Kluyveromyces lactis: one gene and its partner. The protein of the gene in region 1 interacts with the protein of each later gene in a biochemical or structural test. Links are inferred from orthologs where the notes say so. Each region holds a gene or a part of one and is shown on either strand. Other genes may lie near its edges. The genes, in order: BUD13 and IST3.

The links.
Region 2: the proteins of BUD13 (region 1) and IST3 form a complex in vitro, tested with the Saccharomyces cerevisiae proteins (4 studies listed by BioGRID, with this or other methods). The link is inferred for Kluyveromyces lactis from reciprocal best matches to the Saccharomyces cerevisiae genes BUD13 and IST3.

What each region holds. Positions count from the first base shown.
Region 1 is NC_006042.1:2,085,994-2,098,087, forward strand, and holds BUD13 (Bud13p), read right to left. Parts: upstream 10,507-12,094; coding exon 9,700-10,506; downstream 1-9,699. Other genes in the region: KLLA0_F22319g (uncharacterized protein), read right to left, coding at 620-1,231; KLLA0_F22341g (uncharacterized protein), read right to left, coding at 2,014-2,973; FG-nucleoporin NUP49, read right to left, coding at 3,483-4,700; chromatin-binding exonuclease XRN1, read left to right, coding at 5,242-9,603; ssDNA endodeoxyribonuclease SAE2, read left to right, coding at 10,810-11,859. UniProt on the Saccharomyces cerevisiae protein: Required for efficient splicing and pre-mRNA nuclear retention. May also be involved in positioning the proximal bud pole signal.
Region 2 is NC_006040.1:1,151,194-1,162,950, reverse strand, and holds IST3 (U2 snRNP complex subunit IST3), read left to right. Parts: upstream 1-4,959; coding exon 4,960-5,460; downstream 5,461-11,757. Other genes in the region: AIM21 (Aim21p), read left to right, coding at 202-2,013; DJP1 (Djp1p), read left to right, coding at 2,399-3,700; KLLA0_D13442g (bifunctional 4-hydroxy-4-methyl-2-oxoglutarate aldolase/oxaloacetate decarboxylase), read right to left, coding at 3,917-4,624; actin cytoskeleton-regulatory complex protein PAN1, read right to left, coding at 5,606-9,580; KLLA0_D13376g (alpha-mannosyltransferase), read right to left, coding at 10,102-11,757. UniProt on the Saccharomyces cerevisiae protein: Required for pre-mRNA splicing and spliceosome assembly. As part of the pre-mRNA retention and splicing (RES) complex, required for nuclear pre-mRNA retention and efficient splicing. Required for MER1-activated splicing.

The DNA of each region.
Region 1 (12,094 bases):
AACGGCAGTAAGAGGAGAAACAATACGTCGTTAGATGCAATACGGCTACGTGGGTTATTGATTATTAAACGTTGGTTGTTGTCCATATATAGCTATAAAAAAGAACGTGGTTTGCTAGCTTCTTATGAGCGTGCGAGCAAGAGTTGCATGGGCAGCCAGCCTAACCTGATCCCGATAAACCTCAGCTACCGAGCTGCTCTCTTCTGAAGCGGCTTTGCAAGGGTTACGGATGATGGTGGTACGTAATTATAAAGTGGGTACGTCTTTGCTGGGTGACTGGAATTTCATGTTTCTGTAAGATTCTCGGGAGGGTAACAATAATGATTATGATAACACCCAAGGCCGTTCAACAGGGTCTGGGCCCTCCTCGAAACAAAACAAGTTTTGGGCCATGTATCATCATTATTTACGGATGTGTCGTGTGACACTGAGATCTTCGCTCTTATTTACCGTAATATACATATACCAATGCACATATCTGTGTGCTTTATATGTATAAATATGTAAATATAAAATATACCATCCTAATTACCTGTATTTCATTCTGCATCATATTGTAGTATACGATTTGTATAAAAAAGTTCAAAAGCTTATTATCCTTTAAGGTTAAAGATAAAAATCAACACTTGTGGCACTTGTGTTTCTTCTCGTGTCTTCGTAAATTGCTCTTGACATTGTAGCTCTTGTTACAATCAAGATATGTACATTTGAACGGTTTCGCCTGTGAATGCACCACTATATGTGTTTTCAAAGTGCTTGGACGAGAGAATTCTTTCCCGCAAATGTGGCATTTCTTACAGTGTATTTTCTTCTTGTAACGAGCCCCACGTCCTTGCTTTTGGTTCCATTCGTGGATGTACCCGGGTTCTGGTCTATCGTGCAGTAGCTTTTCTTGCAATTGTTTGAAATCTAACTCAGACAATGAATCTGTGGAAGAGCATGAAGAGTCTGAGTGGGCTCTGGGCCTAAATATTGCGTCACTTGTGTCTATCTTATTTTCAGCTTTTACTTTTTTCTCATCGGCAATGGTCAACGGGGGACTTATCGAGAGTTTAGTTATTGGAGGTAACGTCCTTGGTGTATCATCGAAATTGTCTGTGTCTGTGTAGTTTACTAAGTTACGAATGGATGGAAGAAGCGAAAATTGGTTACAACTTAGTGTCGCTCTGCCTCGATTTTCTGCCATTTCCTTTGGGCTCTTGGGTAGTGGTAAAATCATCTTCTTATCCATTATGTTTGGTTTTATTTTTATGTTATCTTTTTATTTGCGTCAGCGTGTGCTGATCTTATCCCACGGCCTTTTACGTCTCCTCCGCTGGTCAACTCCCGTAAAGAAAATGCTTTTTATATGCATATATATATATATATTTATACACTGTTACATGGCTTCAGACATGTGCCAAGCGGGTTTACTAGAAACCTACCAAGAATGTCACTAGATTGCCGTTATGATTGGCATATATAAAACACGTTTTTCCCTTGCTCATGACTCGTGGTCCCTCGAGTGGAAGAGAACAAAAATTAATTCCCAACAAAGTACGCAGTACTTTCCAATCATTACCACGTGAACTTGAACCCACATGCAGCACCATGCACGGTCTTTTCTTGATAAAGACCGTGCTTTTCTAACAATTTCCTTTTCGTTTTACTTAAGATGAGGTACCTTATTAACATTACGCAGATCCATGTTCGGCGTATTTGGTTCCACGTGGGAAATTCACGTGTTGGCTGATAAGCTAGTTATCATTTCGGGACGCCCTGGGTTTTTTAAAAAGGTCTGAAAGTCATTTGCATCCCCGAAATCTGATTTTGGACGATTACCCCTCCTGTTACCCGGACATGCGACGGGGAAATAGACATGATCTGGCCCAAGATGTTCCGTCATAACTGGGAGAGAACCTCTGTGCTGTAGGCCTGATGAAGACATACTTTAGAAACGAAATACACATACATATATATCCTGGAAAAACTGTTTACGTATGGTATATATCAAATTTTACCCTGAATCACACATCACATTCTTACCCTTAAGAGATCAAGTATTTTATGGTATTGGTGGCGAAGCTTATCAGAGGATTTGTACCAAATCCTAGGCACGGAAAACTTGCGCAAATGTGGGAATTCAAGTGGGTACATTTTCCTCATTTTTCTCTGGTACCTATGGATAGCAGCTTGTAAATTTACTCTGAACTTGAATAGTGATTGTCGTTGACGGGGCCATTGCGTCTCCTTGTAGCTATCGAATCTCTGTTTAGTTAGCGAGTAGAAAGCAGTGATCCGGTCTTCTGCTGTTTCCTTCGCATTCTTCGTCCATTCCTTAACGCTTTCGAAGTTTTCACGCCTCACCGTTGTACTGACCCAGTTAGAAGTTGCTGCATAAGTAAATTTCAACTTCTTCTGACATACTTCGTAATATTGCTCAAGAGAAGGGAAGCTAGGGTAATATGATGCTAAAGTGGATGGAAGTGGCGTTTTCTTCACGTATGCTGCTTCGTATGCATGGGCCCTATGGCCCATGTATGCATCAAATTGACAAGCCAATCTGTCCTTGAAAGCTAGTGAACTACACTCTAACTCGTTGTTTTTAGTAAAACTGTTAATATCACGGATGAAAACGGTCAAGAGGCCCATGTTGATGAGACCGGCCACCAACGAAATTCCAAGAATAACGGATTGAAGTTTCGTCAAGCGCGCTGTCCATGTATTGCTCCTTGCTGTTGTCTTTGCAGGCGCAACGTTGGATAATGAATCCAGTGGCGTGGATAACGACGTAGTATTGTTACTATGATTAACGCTCCCTTTCTTATTCTGCAACACTGCGGAATCCTCTAAGTCGCTGCTTGTCACCGATAAAATATCGTCCATTTCACCAGCGTCAAGATCCCTGATGGAATATGTACCGTCCACACCACCAACGACCCCCCAAGTGTCATTTCCATCCACTGATGTACATCTATCTTTTACTTCAGCCATCGCTTCGCTTTAATCAAAAAAAAAATCTCCTAGCTCCTTGATTTTACGCCTGAAGCTTGATCTACAATAAGTTTATACTGACAGAATTAATACTAAAATGTCACACTTAATATGTCTCTGATATTCCAATAATGATAGTTAGTTGCCAGCAACGTTCTAAAATTCTTATCAGTCCTATATATATTTCTTGAGTATAATCACAAAACCAGGACGCCTTTCCTTTGTTCTTTGTTTCACATTTTCGTTTCCGGGAAAACTGTTACTCCTTGTTAACCATTTTTTAATCCTTATTCCTTTTATATTTGTCGTATCAAATTCCCTTTTTTCACAACTCATTGACCTAAATAAGGAAGGGAAGATAAAGGGAGCCTGAGAAGAGAAGACTGCGAAGAGACAAGTGGCAGATGCGGTGCAGGTGCAGTGCATGTGCAGGAGTTAGTGATCTGCATCAATAGGTAATATGTTCTTGAACGCTTTCTTTTTTTATAGTATTAAAAGAATAATATCGACTATTTAACTATTATTTCTTTACACTTCTGATGCAGTTCTGCTATTCTTTCAGCTGTATCCATGAATAGTTTGAACTCTTCGATTAGAACGCTGACGATAATGTTAACACCGACCTTGGTATCATCATCTTCGGATGAATCGTTCCCAAAGAGATCATTCTCTAGACCTGACACTGCGTCGTCAATATTGCTTAGAGTGTCGTTGTAGTCATTTAATTTGTGTTTGTATGTGATTAATTTTTCCTGGAAGAACTTATCTATCTCAACGTTTGATATTTTGAATCCCTTACTGACTAGTTGTTGCAACATTATAGCAAAATTTTCCAATTGTTTAACATCTTTATCCACTAGTGTCTTGATGGCATCGATTCGTTTCAAATCTGATGATAGTGATCTTGTTGCGTTGAAATGCAATTTTTGTAGATACTTGATGTCACGAGGGATTGAATCCAATAGTTCAGTTTGATCTTGTAGATCAGCTTCAAGATGTTTGGATAAAGACACTTGCGTTCTAATGAATTGGTCCAATTGTTCGATTTCTTGACGAATTTGAATCGGAAGCTCCGATATCTTGGTCATCGGCGTGATAGCTAATTGGTTAATGAAATTAATGGCACTCTGTTGAGTCTGTTGTATCTGTTGTTGTGGTGGCTGTTGAAATTGATTTTGTGTTTGTCCAAACATTCCTAAACCAGATTGTTGGGATTGCTGTTGTTGATTTCCGAATGGGCCTCCGGTAGTTGGTTTGGATCCAAACAATCCTCCACCAGTTGCAGAGCCTCCGAAACCGGTAGTCTGTGGTTGTGCTGGTTTGGATCCAAATAATCCTCCTCCAGTTCCAGAGCTTCCAAAACCAGTGGTCTGTGGTTGTGCTGACTTATTCCCGAATAAGCCTCCGCCAGACCCGGCTCCTGAGTTACCAAATAGGCCACCTGTGGAGCCAGTGGCTGTATTATTAGAACTTCCGAAAAGTCCTCCTGCGGTTTGGTTCGTATTGTTGTTGGTGCCTGCTGGATTACTGCCAAATAATCCTCCGCCAGTCTGTGTCGCTGTATTGTTATTGTTTCCAAATAACCCTCCTCCAGTGTTACCTGATGTGGCATTGTTATTACCAAAAAGACCACCGCTAGTGCTTTGCTGGTTGCCCGTATTCCCAAATAATCCTCCTCCTGTGCTTGGTCCTACTGGAGGACCTGTAGAAGAAGAACGGCCAAACATTTCGTTTCTATCAGTAATAAGAGTATTAGATATTTACACGCCGTAAATTCAGTTAATTCAACTTACTGTTCAGTATCAATTGGTGTCTCAATTCTGCTCTCTCCATCTTTCTTTTTAACCTCATCTGTTTACTTTCTCAGTTTCCATATTCAAAATGTTTTCAACTCTTCCATCAAAGAGTATAAAACAAGAAAAAAAAGCTTGAACTTATGGATCCGGGTAACCCATAAACCTCGTCTCAAAAAATTTTGCCACCACCAAGAAAAATATTCCGATTGAACATTGGAAAGAATTACCAAATTACCTTAACGATTATGTTACTAAACAGTAGCTTTGGTTAATGTACTTTCAGGGTCTTTCATCCATATCAGGGTATATTATAACAATTCACTAAAAGTGGTTACTCATTGTTCGGCAACGTATACTACTGGTACTATCCAATCCCAGTTGTTGTTGATCTTTTCTATTGTTGGAGGAAAAAAGTCAGTAAAGCAAACCTCAGAAAGTGTTCAATTAATTACGGTTTGTGGCTTAACTAAAAATGGGTATTCCAAAATTCTTTCATTTCATCTCTGAGAGATGGCCTCAAATTTCTCAATTGATCGATGGATCACAGATTCCAGAGTTCGACAATTTGTACTTGGATATGAATTCTATTTTGCATAATTGTACGCATGGTGATGGTAGCGAGGTGAATTCAAGACTATCAGAGGAAGAAGTTTATTCCAAAATTTTCAGTTATATTGATCATCTTTTCCATACTATTAAACCAAAACAGACATTTTATATGGCAATCGATGGTGTGGCCCCAAGAGCAAAGATGAACCAACAAAGAGCTCGTAGATTCAGAACTGCCATGGATGCCGAAAAGGCTTTGCAGAAGGCCATTGAAAATGGTGACGAGTTGCCTAAGGGAGAGCCATTTGATTCCAACGCTATTACCCCAGGAACAGAATTTATGGCAAAATTAACCGAGAATTTGAAATATTTCATCCATGACAAGATCACCAACGATACCAGATGGCAGAACGTGAAGGTTATTTTCTCCGGGCATGAGGTTCCTGGTGAAGGTGAACATAAGATCATGGATTACATCAGAGCAATTAGAGCACAAGAGGATTACAATCCAAATACAAGACATTGTATCTACGGGTTAGATGCTGATTTGATCATCCTAGGTTTATCCACCCATGATCACCACTTTTGTTTATTAAGAGAAGAAGTTACTTTTGGTAAACGTTCGTCTTCTGTGAAAACTCTAGAAACACAGAACTTCTTCTTGTTGCATTTGTCTATCTTGAGAGAATATTTGGCATTAGAGTTCGAAGAAATAACAGATTCTGTGCAGTTTGAATACGACTTTGAAAGAGTATTAGATGATTTCATCTTTGTATTATTTACCATCGGTAATGATTTCTTACCAAATTTGCCCGATTTGCATTTGAAAAAAGGTGCATTCCCTGTGCTATTACAAACTTTTAAAGAAGCTCTCCAACATATGGATGGTTACATTAATGAACAAGGTAAGATAAATTTGGCAAGATTTTCCATTTGGTTGAAGTACTTGTCCGATTTTGAATACCTTAACTTTGAGAAGAAAGATATTGACGTTGAATGGTTCAATCAACAACTTGAAAATATTTCCTTGGAAGGTGAGCGTAAACGTACTAGGATGGGTAAAAAGTTGTTGATGAAACAACAAAAGAAATTGATTGGCGCCGTAAAACCATGGTTATTGAAAACCGTTCAACGGAAGGTCACTTCTGAATTACAGGATGCCGATTTCGAAATTTTCCCTCTTGAGGATAAAGAATTGGTTCGGGCCAACCTGGATTTCTTGAAGGAATTCGCATTTGATTTGGGTTTAATTCTTGCTCATTCTAAATCAAAAGATTTGTACTACTTCAAGTTGGATTTAGACTCCATCAATGTGCAAGAAACAGATGAAGAGCATGAAGCCCGTATTCACGAAACAAGACGTTCTATTAAGAAATATGAACAAGGTATTATTATTGCATCTGAAGAAGAATTAGAAGAAGAGCGTGAAATTTATAGCGAGAGATTCGTTGAGTGGAAAGATCAATACTATAAAGATAAATTAGATTTTTCCATCAATGATACTGATAGTCTAAAAGAAATGACAGAAAACTATGTCGGAGGTTTACAATGGGTTTTATACTACTATTATCGTGGATGTCCATCTTGGTCCTGGTATTACAGATATCATTACGCTCCTCGTATATCAGATGTGATCAAAGGTATAGATCAGAACATAGAATTTCACAAGGGACAGCCTTTCAAGCCCTTCCAACAATTGATGGCCGTCTTGCCTGAGAGATCAAAGAATTTGATTCCAGTTGTGTACAGACCACTCATGTATGATGAACACTCTCCTATCTTGGACTTCTATCCTAACGAAGTAGAGTTGGATCTAAATGGCAAAACAGCAGACTGGGAAGCTGTCGTCAAAATTTCATTCGTGGATCAAAAGCGTTTAGTAGAAGCAATGGCTCCTTATGATGCTAAGCTTTCTCCGGATGAAAAGAAAAGAAATTCGTTCGGAACTGATCTGATTTTCATATTCAATCCTCAGGTAGACACAGTTTACAAAACACCACTAGCGGGGTTGTTTAATGATATTGAACACAATCATTGTATCGAAAGGGAATTCATTCCAGAATCGATGGAAAACGTTAAGTTCTTATTTGGTTTGCCAAAGGGCGCTAAACTCGGAGCTAGCTCTTTGGCCGGTTTCCCATCCCTAAAGACACTACCACTAACTGCAGAGCTTGCTTATAATTCTTCTGTTGTCTTCAATTTCCCTTCTAAACAACAATCTATGGTGTTGCATATTCAGGACCTTTACAAGGAAAATGGCATCTCTCTGTCAGATCTAGCAAAAAGACATATGGGTAAGATTGTTTATTCAAGATGGCCGTTTCTAAGAGAATCTAAACTTTTGTCGTTGATTACAGAGGAAACTGTGTATGAAGGAGTTAAGTCAGGCAAATTAACAAAGGTCATTGAAAGAAAGCCTCAGGATTTTGAAAGGAAAGAATTTAGAGAGTTGAAGATGACTCTCAAATCGAATTATCAAAGGACAAAGGCCATTCTTTTGGATGACATTTCTGCTTTGGCTAAAGTGGTTCCAGTAAATGGATTGGTGAGAAACTCTGATGGTTCCTATTCTAAGTCTTTCAATGAAACTATCGAATACTATCCTTTACAATTAATCGTAGAGGACGTAAAAAATAAGGACGAAAGATATATTGAAAAAGAGCCGTTACCAATTAATAAAGAATTTCCAAAAGGTTCAAAAGTTGTGTTTTTAGGTGATTATGCGTATGGTGGGGAGGCGACCGTTGATGGTTATAATAGTGAGACTAGATTAAAACTTACAGTCAAAAAGGGTTCTCTCAGAGCAGAGCCTAACATCGGAAAAGTTAGAGCGAAATTGGATTCTCAAGCCTTGAGATTCTACCCAACACAAGTGTTTTCAAAAATAGCTCGTGTCCACCCTCTCTTCTTGTCAAAAATTACTTCAAGATATTTGGTCAATGATTCTAAAAAGAAAAGCCATAACGTCGGTTTGATGATCAAATTCAAAGCAAGAAATCAAAAAGTTCTCGGTTATGCCAGATGCAGCTCAAACAAATGGGAATACTCTGACGTCGCTCTTGGTTTGTTAGAGCAGTTCAGATCTACATTCCCTGAGTTCTTTGCGAAACTTTCTAACTCGAAGGAACAAGCAATTCCATCGATCACTGATCTCTTCCCTAACAAATCTAGCGCGGAAGCTGATTCCATTTTGAAAACAGTGGCTGATTGGCTCTCAGAAGCAAGAAAACCATTCGTGGTGGTGTCTTTGGAAAGTGATTCGCTAACCAAGGCTTCGATGGCAGCTGTTGAATCTGAAATCATAAAATACGTTTCTTTACCAGATTCAAGCGAGCAGAAGAAATTAGCTAAGGTCCCACGTGAGGCAATCTTAAATGCGGAATCGTCATATGTTCTATTGCGCTCCCAAAGGTTCCACTTAGGTGATAGGGTAATGTACATTCAAGATTCAGGCAAGGTTCCACTTCACAGCAAAGGTACTGTCGTTGGCTACACTTCAATTGGCAAGAACGTCTCAATCCAAGTTCTATTTGACAATGAAATAATTGCAGGAAACAACTTTGGTGGTAGGTTGCAGACCAGACGTGGTTTGGGATTGGACTCTTCCTTCTTATTAAACTTGTCTGATAGACAATTGGTATATCATTCAAAGGCATCGAAGAGTGCTGATAAGAAACCAAAAGCAGTTCCTAATGATAAGCAAGTCGCCCTCGCAAAAAAGAAGAGAGTGGAGGAACTCAAAAAAAAGCAAGCCCATGAGTTGTTAAATCATATCAAGAAGGATAACGCGGAATCAAATACCGAATCTGGATCCGCTCCGCAAATAGCAGTTAACACTTTAAATCCTTCGGCTGCTAACAACGTGTTCAATGCCGTCTTGAACCAAATCAAACCAGGTTCTCAACAGCAAATTCAACCACCTCCAGCAAATTCTCTGCCTTACAATTTCACTGTTCCCCCACATATGGTTCCTGGTGGTATTCCTCATCCTCTTATGATGCAGCCGCCTTTCATTCCGAATAATGAGCATATTGCTTATGCAGCTCCTCCTCAGTCACAACCTGTACAAAATCCACCATTAGATAAAGAGGCATCCAGGAATCTTAAGAATCTCCTAATTAGAGATGAGAATGGACGTACAGCAAATGTGGAGAATAAAGACTCAGATGATACAAAGAGATCTTCTCATTCTCGTGGCGGTCGTCGTGGCCGTAGTAATCGTGGTCGTGGTGCCTCCGGGAGGGGTGGTCATTTCAAAAATTCTCCTAAAAAAACTGAAACCTGAATGTTGGTTTGAATGGACTATTAACAGTAAATATTATATCACTTCAGTAAATAATGCTTAGTATATAAGAATAGAGACACTTTCAGGTTCAACTTTTCAAAATTCCCGGTTTGTTGTTTGTTCCTTTATTTTTTGATCAGCGATATCGTGACTCTTAGCAAACCACTTAGTTTCAAACCCATTTGATCTATCAACTCCATCCCATCTATAACCGGGAACGATACCGAACCGATTTTCTGGAAAGTTTTTCTCGTAAAGCCTTCGACCCAACAGTGACGTATTCGTTCCTCGCAGGGTGTTTCCTTGATTCAATGGATCTTCGGTTGATAATAATGCACTTTTCTCAGTTTTGCGATCAAGTTTTGATATTTGTACTTCGCCTATATTTCGTATTTTAAGTTCTTCTTCCTTACGTACTTTCGCTGTCAAATTAGCCTTTTCTCGAAGTTTCAATTCTTCTTCGTATCCATCTATTACCTTACCTTTTTCGTCTCTATATACTGTGTTCTGATTCTTCTTGAGAAGCCCTGATTTTTGCATAGAAAGTTTTTCCTTTTCTGCGATCTGCTTTTCCATCTCTTCTGCTGTCTGTAACCCAGCAAAGGCGCCTGACGACATCCTTTCCTTACTATCGTCCTTTTTGTCGACATCAACGTGTTGTACAAGTTCCAACTTTTCAGTTTCAAGGTTTTTCCAAAGAGACTTTCCTGTTTTATTTGAGCTTGCAGCCTTCTTGTTTTCTTCAGTAATAAGATTAGCCTTGTCAATAATATCAATATTTCTTGATGTGACTCTTTTAGACTCATCGCTCTTTCTGTGTGATGACTTATCCTTAGACTTTTTCGTCTTCTCTTTACCGTGCTTTGAGCCGTAAGACTTCGCCAAAAAATCGTTAAGTGACATTATATTAATTGGGTCGGTTTGCAATTCTACCCACCCTAAATGCTGTGATAAGCTCTACAGCTATGTAAACATCTGAGAATCTGCTTCTGTTGGGGAGCTCTATAGCCATGTTAGCCTTAATCTGAAATCAAAATAAGGTTTTCTTTTCCAGAAAAAAGCATAAAATATCAACAATGTAACTGTTAGTTCGATAAAGAGCTAAGGTTTCGCGTCACCACTTTGTACTGTAGCTAGTTTGTTAGACCCTTACTGTGGACACATATTGAGTTCTCAGGATTCTGCTTGGCAAGAATCTTTACTGCGATGAGTCAAGAATCAGAGGAAAGCCTAGAGGCATGGCTACATCGATTAGAATGGTCTCAGTTACTTTCTTTACAAAAACAATTAGTATCGGAAATGGATCGACGGTACGTCGAAATAATTCAGCCACAGGGACAGAATATTCAAGATGACTTGGATGAATACATGAAGGACGGTCTTAGCAGCTATGATGACCTCCCGTCTACTCAGTTTGATCCAATACATGTGAAGAAAAACGCGACTGTGAAAAGTACTATTGAACAAGAACACGCTGAACCATTGGCAAGAGAACGTAATCAAGGACTACAACGTGATTTAGAGCTGATGAGTTCCCCTTTGAAAGAAAACGAGATTATCCTTGATTCCCAAGCGTCAGACATCTTGAAGGAGAATGATATCAACATACAACATTCACATCAGAGTGTCATAGCAAAATCTAAACGTGGTAGGTCACCAATAAATGCAACTACTATGCCACAAGCTAATAGGAACAATGAGAAGGAGAATATTAAAAGGGGTAAAATCTCGGTTGATTTCTCCATAAATCCAATTACGAAGAAACCTTGGATCTATGAAGATTTCAAGATCAATGAACTAGTGTCCTCAAAAAATCGAGGAAGGGGATGCAAGAAATCCAATAAAGTAGCTCGTTTTCACGCTCAAGCTGGATCACCACTGAAAAGTAAACAAAACGTTGTACTAAACAGTACCGGGTTACTCGAAACTGTCGACGAAACTAGTGTGTCAGACAGGTCAAAAGTTCCCGACCTTCAGTTTCCTGACGATTCCTTCGATAATCTACGTGTTAGATCAAAATCTCCTCCTGGATATGGAAGGCTTAACTTCCCAACCACCCAAGAAAGATTGGACGACAAAGAGGAGTCGAGGAAATTGCTTTATCAGAAAACAAAAACACGGTTTCTCGAAGCTACGAATAATTTAGTGCCTATATCTGAAAGAGAATTTTACTTCAGGAACTCCAAATTGAATGACATCGTTGACGATGGCAATTTCACTTGGAATGAAAACGAATTGAAGATATTCACCAGATAAAAGGACGTATTAGCTAGATCTATAACGACCATTTAATATTTTAATGAACAATTTATGTCATTTCGTCTAAAATCACGTGCTGCGAAAAACACGTTAAATGATTCATGTTCCAAAAACATCAACAAACTGAATTTCATCAAAGAGCCTTACACATTTCGGACACCTACTATTTCTTGAAGTTCAACGAAACGGATGGATGCAGAAACTCCCTGTAATTCTGTAATTCTTTGCTCTA
Region 2 (11,757 bases), on another chromosome or scaffold:
GTGTGTGTGTTTGTACATTTATACATGTAAGTATCATACAATATAAATCTTTAATTATCACGTGATATCAAAATAGTGGACTCTTACCTATATAAAACGAAGTCCCCTATTAAAGCCAGACTGTTTCCGATCCAGTGTGTGGTTCGAAAGGGAGATCTGGGGTATTAGCCAGTGTTTAGACGGGCAACAAGTGTTATAGAGATGGAGCAGGTGATTCCCAAAGTGCCTGAGAGGCCAAGGAGAAGAATTACTCGTTCAGAAGAGCCTGAGCAGTTGCGTTCGGAGTCAGAATTTGAGAGAGAGAAGAGTGGATCAAAGGATTCCGAGTTGGACTTGCCTCCGGTGCCAAAAACCAGACCTAATAGGAAACCTCTGGCGAGTAGCAGTGCACACGCTAGTTCAGATGATGTTTCAGTGAAGCCAGAGCCACAAATTCAGGCTCAATTGCAGCCAGAGGCCGTTATTGAAACTGAACCCACCGTAGAACATCCGATTGTTGACGAACTGGAAGCGAAACTACCTGTAGAACAACCAGTTTTAGACGAGGTAGAACTGGACGAGCCTGTAACACAAGAAGTAGAACCATCTGGGGAGTTATTACCGGAGGAATCCACGATCAAGGAATCTCTAGAAGAGCAGATTATTGACGATTTTGCGGATGAGCCAGTAGAAGAGGAGTGCAAAGAAGTTGCATCTCCGGAACTAATCGGTGATGAAGCGATTCAAGACGAGGAGCTTGAAAAACCAGTTAAGGAAGAGCCAATTATTCAAACGGACGATAAGACACTTGCGGAAGCGATTGTGCCCTCCGTGTGTGAAGAGTCTGAGGCAGACATTGCTGAAGAACCCAAGGAAACACCCGAGGATGCTTCAGAGGCAGTTGTAGAGGCAGCTCGAGAAGAATCTTCAGAGGTATCTCCAGAGGCATCTCCAGAGGTACCTCCAGAGAAAACGCAAGTTAGTGTTGACCAGTTGTCATCCACTGCGAATCTCACCGAAGGTGCCAAGGAGGCACCCAAGGAAGAACAAAAGGAAACCTCAGAAGCAACATCAGAGGAAACTCCAGAGGATTCCTCGGTAAATGCCAAGCCTTTATTCAAAGAGGTGACCCCGGGCAATGTTTCATCTAAAGAGGCGATCCCAAGTAACACGTCACCAAAAGAAGGCTCTCCAGCTACTCAAAAGAAGAAACAAGGAAAATCTCCACCTGTACCAAAGAAACCTTCCTCTAAGATTGCAGCTTTCCAACAAATGTTCCAAAATCAACAACTCCAACCGGAACACACTCCTAGCCCTAAGGAGCCAGCTGCTCCTAAGACTGGTGGATTCTCCGGAAACAGAGCTCAATTTGCTCAGAATTTGAATGGGATGATTGCTCTACCTGGAATGGCGCAACTGACCCCAGCTTTAGCTAAAAGATTAGGTGTTTCCACATCGTCAGATGATGCCGAAACTGGCGCTGAAGTTGAAACTAAGAATACAAAAGATGAGGCTGAATTACCTAAGGTCCCAGCCCGTTCTAAGAAGACCAGAGGACCACATAAACGTCTACCAAAAACTGTTGCCTCAATTGAAAAAGTGGAAACGAAATCCACGTCTAATATATCTGTCGTAAAGGCATGGACTATATCTTTCAAGCCCGACTTGCCGGAACGGGCTGATGATCAACCAATGGAGGCAGAATTGACTGCAGGGGAAGCAATTGCGCCATCTGAACCAGCTGGCCTTGAAGATGTTGAAGCAGAAGATCTGAACGAAGCCTCACCAGAAGAACCTCTGCAAATAATTTCTGAGTCTGGAAACAGCGATGAGTCTGAAATACAGCATACTTCAGATCCGTCCATTGCACAGAATGTGGAACATGAAGAAGAAGTACATGAGGAAGCAGAAGCAGCGCCTGAAGCAGAGCCTGAAGCAGAAGAAATCGCTTTGGATACGGAAGAATCGAATCCTACGGCTTTTATCGCTGAAACTTATGATGAAGATACCGAAGTAGAAACTCCCACAGCTTGAACTAAATACTCATACATTTGAAAAGTAACACTAACATCTAGTAGCTAAGTCCATAGATAACGTCTAGCAGGTATACCCTGGTGCCGATACAGGGGAGTTCTTGTATCTTTGAATATACCTATTAAAAGTTACCCGCACTTTATTACTCGACCCAGATAAAACTCGATATCAATATCAAATGCACCAACAAGGCGATACATAATGATTTTAGTAGTCATTGATGAGTTGACAGCGTTGTTGAAGAGCACATATTATCACTCGAGCAACGTTTCAGGCTTTTGAAAGGTACATTCGTATATCTAAGAGTGTTTGGAGCTTTTGGTTTGGTGCTATAACTGAGGTAAACGGTCTAGAAAGAAGAGCATTTAGGATCTATAGTAAAAGAATGGTGGTAGACACGACATATTATGACTTGCTAGGCGTAGCTACGGATGCCAAACAGATTGATATCAAGAAAGCGTACAGAAAAAAATCAGTGAAGGAGCATCCAGACAAAAATCCCGATGATCCCACAGCAACTGAAAGATTTCAAGCTATTTCTGAAGCTTATCAAGTCTTGAGTAGCGAGGAGTTACGTATGAAGTACGATAAGTTCGGTAAAGAAGAAGCTATGCCTAAGAATGGCTTCGAGGATGCAGGTGAACAGTTTGCTGCGATATTCGGTGGTGAGGCATTTACGTCTTATATTGGGGAATTAACGTTGTTGAAGAATATTCAAAACACACAAGAGTTAAGTGAAGAGGACGAAAGAGCAAAGGAACAAGAAGCAAGTGAAAAGGCCACTCAGCAAGCTCATAATTTGAATAATAATAACAATGCATCTAATGGTGATGATGACACTAAATCTGCTGAGGATAGCACTAATAATGGAACTGCCAAGAAGCTAACATCAGGAGGCGATGATTCGTCCAATCCCGAGACTAAGAAAAAGGGTAAGCTAGAAGAGTTCGAAGAGCAGCAAATGTTAGATAAAGAGAAGAGTATAGAAGAGCTCAGTAAGACGTTATCGGACCGTTTGTCCATACTAACGGAAAGTGCATACGATGATGCTTGCAAGGAGTCATTTGATAAAAAATTCGAAGAAGAGGCGAACATGTTGAAGATGGAATCGTTTGGATTAGATATCTTGCATACAATAGGTGAAATCTATTGTGAAAAGGCGAACATATTCTTGAAATCACAATATTTATGGGGTTTTGGAGGTTTTTACCATTCAGTAAAGGCTAAAGGTGGCTTAGTGATGGATACCGTACGGACCGTTTCTGCAGCCTTAGATGCTCAATCTACCATGACTGAGTTGGAGAAATTAAAGGAAACTGCGAACTCGGAGGAACCACTAAAGGATGAAGCTGGAAACGTTGTTGAAAAACCAACTGTGGAAGAGTTAGCACAATTGGAGCAGTTATTAATGGGTAAAGTCCTTTCAGCCGCATGGTACGGCTCAAAATTCGAGATCATGTCAACTTTAAGAAGCGTATGTGATAAAGTTCTAGAAGATGAGACCGCCGAGATGTCAACAAGGATAAGAAGAGCTGAGGCTTTGAAAAGACTTGGGAAAGTTTTCAGAAGGGCATACCGGACGAAAACAGAACAAGAGGATGCCCAAGTGTTTGAAGAGCTCGTGGCGGAAGCAAGCAAGAAAAAGGGTCATAAGCATCACACTAGCAGCACTGCCAATAAACAGTGAATACAAAATATTCTCAAACCGAGTGCTTCCTACCTAATAATAGCATAAACACTTGCCAATTCTTGTTTTTTCATTCTTTATTTCTGCATCATGTTCATATATACATACATAGCTTGCTACTTAATTGACAATAATATTAATTTAACATAGCGATAAACTTTCGACTACGCAACCGAATATTGCAACTCCTGACGATCAACGGGGGAGGGCTGTAAATTACAAATATTGTTTAAGAATTGCTCTACGTTCTGATTGAGACTGAGCAGCAGGTTTTCCCTCCTTTATGTCTTGAGAAACAAGGTCATCGGCTTCGATAGACTTTTCTATATATGTGATCAACTTATCTAAGTCGACGGCGGCAGTTGGAATACGAACCATTCCATGATCATCACATACCAAATAATCGCCGGGATTAATTGTCTCCGTAGTGCCATCGCTAATCTTAATCTTCAACTCACAGTTATACGAAATCGGTTTCAAAACTGCTTTTGGAGCACAGGTACCGATACCGTAACTGAAAACGCTGTGATCCAATGCCTTATGCTCTTCGATATCTCTGATTCTACCAAATACAACCGTACCATGGCTGCCTAAATATTTTGCTCTTGTAGACATTAATCCACCGTACATGCCCTGAATAGGTTTGGTATATGGAGCACTGCTCAATTGTAAATCTTCAGTCATACCGATGGTTACGATAGATTCTGCTGGCACATTATCGATGTAATTGACACTGGGTTTATCTTGGGTAGCATTTTTATGCCCGAACAACACAGGAAAAGCCCTACCCACGATAGTCCCAGACCCTGACCTTCTCACCAAATTAGGGAAATATCCACCATTAGTGATTCCATACAAATTCAATAGCCCATCTGAGATGTCACAAGTAGTGAAATGTCTCAACCTTGCAAGATACTCTGACATTCTGCGTGTGGGAATTATAATTCAGCAGCGATCCCGGTAGTGCATAAACTCTGGATTTAACTTCTTTCGAGCGATGGAAAAGTGTTGATAATTTAAAGGTGTTAAAGATTTGAATAAGTTTCTTGAAAGTTCGTTTATATAAGAACAAGAAGACAATTGAAGGTGTTACGCACGAATGGAGGAACCGGAGAAGAATTTGACGGTTACCGAAAAGGAGCTGCAATTTTCTGATAGAAAGGATAAGGAATAACCAATAGAGCTGGTACTTTGCGGTCATTGGGAGGCTGGTTCAACTGTGAATATTTGGAAGTGAAGATCCAATACGATTATCAATTATGAATCAGATAAGGTCGATACAGAAACTTAGTGAAAGGGAGTTGGAATGTGGGATTCTAAAGCCAGAAAGCTCATGGCATCATGAGTATAAAGATCAGGCCTACATAAACTTTGGAGGGATGCACCTCGAATTGACAGAAGCTGATATTCTCACCATATTCTCCCAGTACGGCTGTCCTGTGGACATCAAACTTGTACGCGACCAGACAACTGGAAAATCTAAAGGGTTCGGGTTTCTCAAGTATGAAGATCAAAGATCGACTATACTTGCGGTGGATAACCTAAATGGAGCCAAGGTTTGTGGAAGACTGATACGAGTAGATCATGCTTTTTATAGGCCAAGATCCGATGAAGCTGAGTACGAGGAAGCTGTAAGACAAGAGTTGGAGAAGGATTTCGCAAAAACAGGAGACGTACCGAGTGAACCCATGAAGCAAGAATCGGTGGCTGACCCGTTGGATGAGTTTGCTGATCCAATGGCTGCGTTTCTGAAGAAATGAAATTCACATTCCTAAAGGAACAAGTACGGAGCAGTTCTTTTATGACAACGTAGACTTTTAGTTTCAAATGATATTTATGTACATATCCTGTAACTACTTTTCAATAATTTAGATACATGAATTTACGGACGCGAGAGCATATAACTTATGGCATCGGTGGTGGTGGAGGGATGACCGGCACTGGAGGAGCGGGAGGAGCGGGAGGGATTGCGCCAGTAGGTGCGACAGATACATCTTCAGCACCTGGTGTATGGAACTTATCTTCCTCATCAGAGGCCACCGACTCTGGGATAGATAGTACGTCGGATGCATCATCCGGCTTTGGTTCTTCGTTCTCTGCTAAAGTTGCAGTTCCTCCTACTTTTAGTAAAGGAGCTGCCACAGGAACAGCAGGTGCTACGTCACTGTTTATTTGAGGCAATGGTGGGGCGATAGGTACTGGTGGGGCACCAGACCCTTCAGTAATCGACGTAGGCAATGGAGGTGGAGGTGGGATCAGGGATGATTCGCTTTTAACTAAAGGCAAAGGTGGTGCAATAGGAACAGCGACAGACGATTGTTCTTGAGTGGTTGCAGAAATCTGTGGGAGAGATGGTGCCACAGGAACGGACGCGGTAGATGTAGCAGGAACAGCGGTACTACTGACATCAACAGCTTTGTTGGCTGTAGTATTTACCTTCTCTGTTTCGTCATCATCTGACCATCCGTCACTGTCATCCAAGCCTCGTTGAACCCTTCTCTGCTGTTCAGCTGCCTTCAGATCAAACGAAGATGATTGTGAAGGAGCTTGCTTGAAAAATGGATTTCTGCCACCAGTTGGAGTGTTATTCAATTGTGGGGTACCAGCACCAGAGGCGGGTTTTTGCTGTGTTGCTTCACTCTTGCCAAATGGATTATATTGGTGATGTGATCCGGCTTGTGATTGGTTTCCAGTAGGGTTTGTTGGTGTAGGTTCATCATCCCAGGAGTCATGACCGTTATCATTCTTAGTTTCTGCTGGTGATGAGCTGGTTTGACGCTTGGCTGCTAATCTAGCTTCTTTTTCTTGTTTTTTCTTCAGTTTCAGTTTTTCTAATTGTTCTAACAATCTTCTCTCCTCCTCGTCCTCCTCATCTTCATCATCATCGTCGTTAGCTTTTGGTAGATTGGAGTTGTTTACCGCAGCAGCAGGTTGACTGGGTTGTTGGTAATAGTTAGGTTGCTGTTGCTGCTGTTGCTGCTGCTGCTGCTGCTGCTGCTGCTGCTGTTGAGGCTGTTGTTGCTGAGTCAATTGTGGAGGATTAGGTGATGATTGTGAACTCCCTGATTTCTTTTTGATTCCTAATGCTGCCAATTTTTCTTCCATCTTCTTTTTAGCTTGTTCTTTGACATATGCAGATCTTTCTTCAGGTGTTTGGAAACTTGAGTACGAGTCTTTTTCTTCAGGCGCACGAGCGTTGTTTCTATAGGTTGCTGAAGAAGAGATTTGAATACCGTTGGAGTATCCTGCGGTATTGTAAGAAGAATTATCGAAGTTTCTTCTGTTTTTCCAAGATATGATAAAGTCTCTGACTTCTGGTTCTAGACCGATACCAGATTCCCATTTATCCATTTCGAGGCCCATTGAAGGAGTTCTTCCGTGAATTATAGCTTGCACCGAAGAAGAGATCTCTTGAATCCAGGTACTGATGTTATTGATGGCAGATTGGTTCTTTTGATCATCTTTTTCGATAGTTTCAATTCCTTCGTTGAAATGTTGTGCTTGTGCCTCCAAATTATCGTAATTTGGTTCAGGTCTACCGACTAAAGTACACATTCCTGCAGTCAGGGTCAGTCTTTGCCTTGCATTCTTACAGTCTAACTCAGTGATTTTACAGTTTGGGCCACTACCACGGATTGGATGATCTACCTTCAAGTGGTGCAATGCCAACTGACTTGAAACCAATTCTTTGCTCACATCAGAAATTTCTTTAAAAAGGTTTGGAATTCTGGCTGTCAAAGTATCAAATCTGGATTGTAAATCATGTGGCACAGCATTGTTTGCAGAAGGTGATTTTTTTGAGGTTGAGGGCAACGCTTGAATTTGAGATTTCAAATTTTCAATTGACCGTAATAGATCAGCATTTTCAGACTGCTTTCTTTGCGAGTCATTTTCCAATCTTAATTTTTCCGAGGCAAGCAATTCCTTCTTTTCCCTAATTAAGTTCTTTAAGTTTTCAATCTTCTCCTTATTCTCATTAACCTTCTTAGACTGATCGATTGTCTTTCTACGATTTCTCGAACTTGGCAGTAATTCGTCATCGTTGTTTCTAAATCTCAAACCATCTTCCTTAGTTGGCTGTCTATTATTTTTATCAACACCTTGTTTCAATTGATCTTTGACTGTGTTTAAAATCTTTGTCGAGGATGGAATTAGACTTGGAGGCAACGTATTTGGTAGAACCTCACCGTTCAACCTGCGATAAACTAGATGCATACCAAGTGCGAATTCTTGTTTGTTCAAGTTACCACTATTGTTTGTATCACATAGATTCCAGATATGTTCTAGGTCTGACCTGTTCAAACCAGATTTACGGAAAATTTCAACAGCAGTTGCAGAGTCAAGGTTCCCTGTTTTCTCAACATCATAAGTCTCAAAAATCTTGTAAAACAATGATTTTTCTTCTGGAGTGATGGCCTCTTCCTTTCTTGCAATGAACTTAGAAGCAAGATTAGCTGAAGTGTAAAGATCGTTGTTACCAAATCCTGTCTTCTGAGCTTGAAGTGGCGCAGTTGCTTGAAAATTGGATGGAGGTAAGTATCCAGTAGCTTGTGGTTGCAAAAATCCACCTCCAGTAGCCAAACTTGTCTGCATTGGAGCTTGCTGTGTGAAAGATGTTTGCGGCATTGACCCTGGTGGTGGTATGTTCAAAACAGAGCTAAATCCACCAGTGGTTTGAGCGTTCAACGGTTGATTGAAGGAATTTTGAGGCATGAAACCCGTGGATTGTGGTTGTAAAGCTTGGGAAGTGTTACCAAAAGAAGTCTGAGGTGCTGCTCCATACCCACCAGTTGGTTGCTGAGTCAAACCCTGGAAACTTTGTTGCTGCGGTTGTTGTTGTTGTTGTTGTTGTTGTTGCTGCATCTGCTGAGGCTGACTTCCGAACGATAGCTGTGGCATATAGCCAGTAGGCTGGGGTTGCATCATTGATATTCCAGCAGTCAAGTCATCGAACGGTGTCTTAGGTTTTTGTTCGACTTCCGAATCATTCGAAACACTGAAGTTAATAGCATCAACAAAACTGGAAACCTCCGCCTTGGTTCTCGAATCCAACTCATAAGGAATGGAATCACCTTGCAATACAGAATTGACTAGATACATTGCCAATGCAAATTCTGGGAAGAGAAGCACACCAGCCTTATTAGTATCTGAGAGAGTCCAAATTTTGGCCAATTGATGAGGCTGTAAGCCAGATTTGACCAAGATATTTCTGCACTGGTCACCAGTTATAGTGTTGGAACCAGGAGTGACAACCGATCTAAACAACTTCTCAAATTTGGCCTGATCCTGAGTGGTAATGAAAGACAATCTAATGGCAGGAATCTTCAAAGTGTTGTCAACACCAGTATTCGCGAAGGAATTGATGAAACCGGTGGCGGTTGGCTTCAAAGGTTCCAAAGGCTGCTGCTGAGAATAGAAGCCAGTCTGTTGAGGCTGTAACGGACCTGTTGGTGCATTGACAGCAGTAGTGCTCATCCCTTGATTGAAAGACGTGTTCATTGGCATTTGTTGTTGAGGCTGACCAAAGGATGTTTGCGGCATCATAGAATTGAATCCCGTCAATTGTTGGGTCAGTGGCATTTGTTGTTGCTGATTACCGAATGGTTGTTGCATGCCTTGTTGTGGTTGTGATTGTGGTTGTTGTTGCTGTGGCTGTTGTGGCTGCGCCTGTGTTTGTTGACTGAAACCTGTAGGCTGTTGATTCAAAGCGCCAGCGTTGCTAAAGGTTTGAAATCCACTGAATTGCTGCTGCTGGCCCTGAGTAGGGACCTGTTGTTGATAAAAATTCCCATAACCAGTTGACTGAGGTTGGGCATTGAATTGCTGTTGCCCACCAAATTGCTGCGGCTGCTGGGGCTGCTGCTGGTACTGGTTGTACATAGCAATTAGTAAATGGTTGGTTGACCCTTGAACTCGCTGAGCAATACTGCGATTCGCACCTCCTAAATCAAGATCAAAGTTGTCTTTAAACCCTTTGAATGGGGAATCATTTCAACCAAGAATTTCGTCAAAGTCTCCTATTCGATGATCACAAAATACGAAGAATATCGAAGCGTCAGTGTCAGTGGACGGATACTACAAGAACACTCGAGTCCGAGAGTGATACTGCGTCTATAAAGCAGATTACACCTCGGGGAAACTTCGTGAGCTATCTTCGCATGATTCTGGAGCAAGTTGTGCGGGTATAGGGTACATAATACGGCTGATGTCACTTTAGACATCTGTTTAAAAGTTTAAGTTAAACTACGTAAGTACAGGATGGTGACAGAGGAAGTGTTTTAATGAATACCTCTACTACACCATGACAGTTACACTATGATCAAAATATCAAAAGGCCAGGGGGGTTGGTAAGAACAGGAAAAAAAAAGATCAAGTTAATGGCGTTGGAGATGAAGACACTACTATATTTCCATGTTATCATCAAGTTTGACGTTTGAATTCCAGATATCCGAAACAGATTGTAAACGTGAAATAGTATCGGTATCGAATTTGACTATGGTTCCTACGTTTTCTTTTGCTGTGGCACAATAAGTGTACTGATGACACTCCTTGATTTTTTCCCAGGGATATTGCCCAACATTCGGCGTGATATAACCACTGATAGATAATGAAGAATCATACATTTGCTGTAAGGCAACAGGGTTGCCGTATTTCTCTTGGAAATAGTCAGGGTCGTGGTCGAAATCAGCCACGGCACAGTCTTGTACCTTACACTTCTTCAACCCACCGTTGGACCATAGTAAAGTACCTTCTGTGCTGACGTGAGCCATTTGGGTGCCACATATTTCAAAAGTATCATCAGGCTTGTTTTTAACGGTACCCATGATGGAACCTTCAGTTGGGTATATAGAATATTTCTCTCCGGCGAGCAATTGGCCAAGCCAAAATATTTCTTTATCGCCGTAAACGCATCTTTGAAGCTTACCATCGATATTCATCATAGTTGAGATGAGTAGACTAGATAATTTTTTAACTCGATCAACTACAACTAATCCACTATCTATGTGATGTAGTTGTAAGTTATGGAAGAACTTATAGTATATCTGCTCTTCCATAGATAGAGTATCGATATTGATATTATCATTCTCCACAAGTTCGAGGGGGAAAGTAGATCTATGGCTCATGAAATGGGTTTCTTCTACAGACGGGAAAAGCTTCTTTAATGTATCTGTACAATAAATAAAAGTTTTCTCGCCTATAATATTTCTGTCTCTGAATAACAGCATGCCAGTGTCCTGATAACCTTTGAAATCAAAATAGGATTCAAGACTGGCAAATGACACAGAGTCCGCATCCAGTAGAATACATTCAGAAAAGGTATTGAACAATAATGCCATCCATTTATTTATGAAATAATGGACGTATTGACCAACGAATGAAGCATCGATTAACGGTTCAATATTGACAAAATAAACCTGCTGTGATAATTTTTTTGCGTTTAAGAATGAATGAATGTCGTAAATGAAGGCTTCAGTAAGCTCAGATCCGTTGTGAATAACTTGTATTGGAAGTGTATTATTTAAATTCTCCAAAGTGAGAAGTAACTTCTTGAACTGGTCACCGTGCCTCAGCCCCAATGTCAGTACAATTCCCTTCCCCTCTGCAAAATTATTCCAATTATAGAAGAATGAATAATTATCATCCATTTTCCAGGTGTCTTTACCTTCTAACAATGGGTTACTAAAAGAAGGAATCAACGTCCAAGGATTGACATGTATCATTTTAGGCCACAAATGTCTGAATGGTGTCTTCTTTGAGAGGAAAGGGAATAATCTCGATTCAAGATCGTTTGGCTTCACGACTGATCTCTTGAACACCTTGGATGTGGATAAACCTCCACTGATGAAACAAGAATCATACATCCTTATCCGTTCTAACATAAGCTCTGCCAAGGGGTCATCCAAATTATTGTCGTTATGGAAGTCTTTAATATGATCATTATTCCATGTTGGGTTTATTTCCAATGTTGATTCGAAATAAAAACGGCATTTCTGCTCTAGGGGTAGCGTTGGCCAGTCCAAACCAATCTTATGATACTTATTAGTAGCATGTAGAGC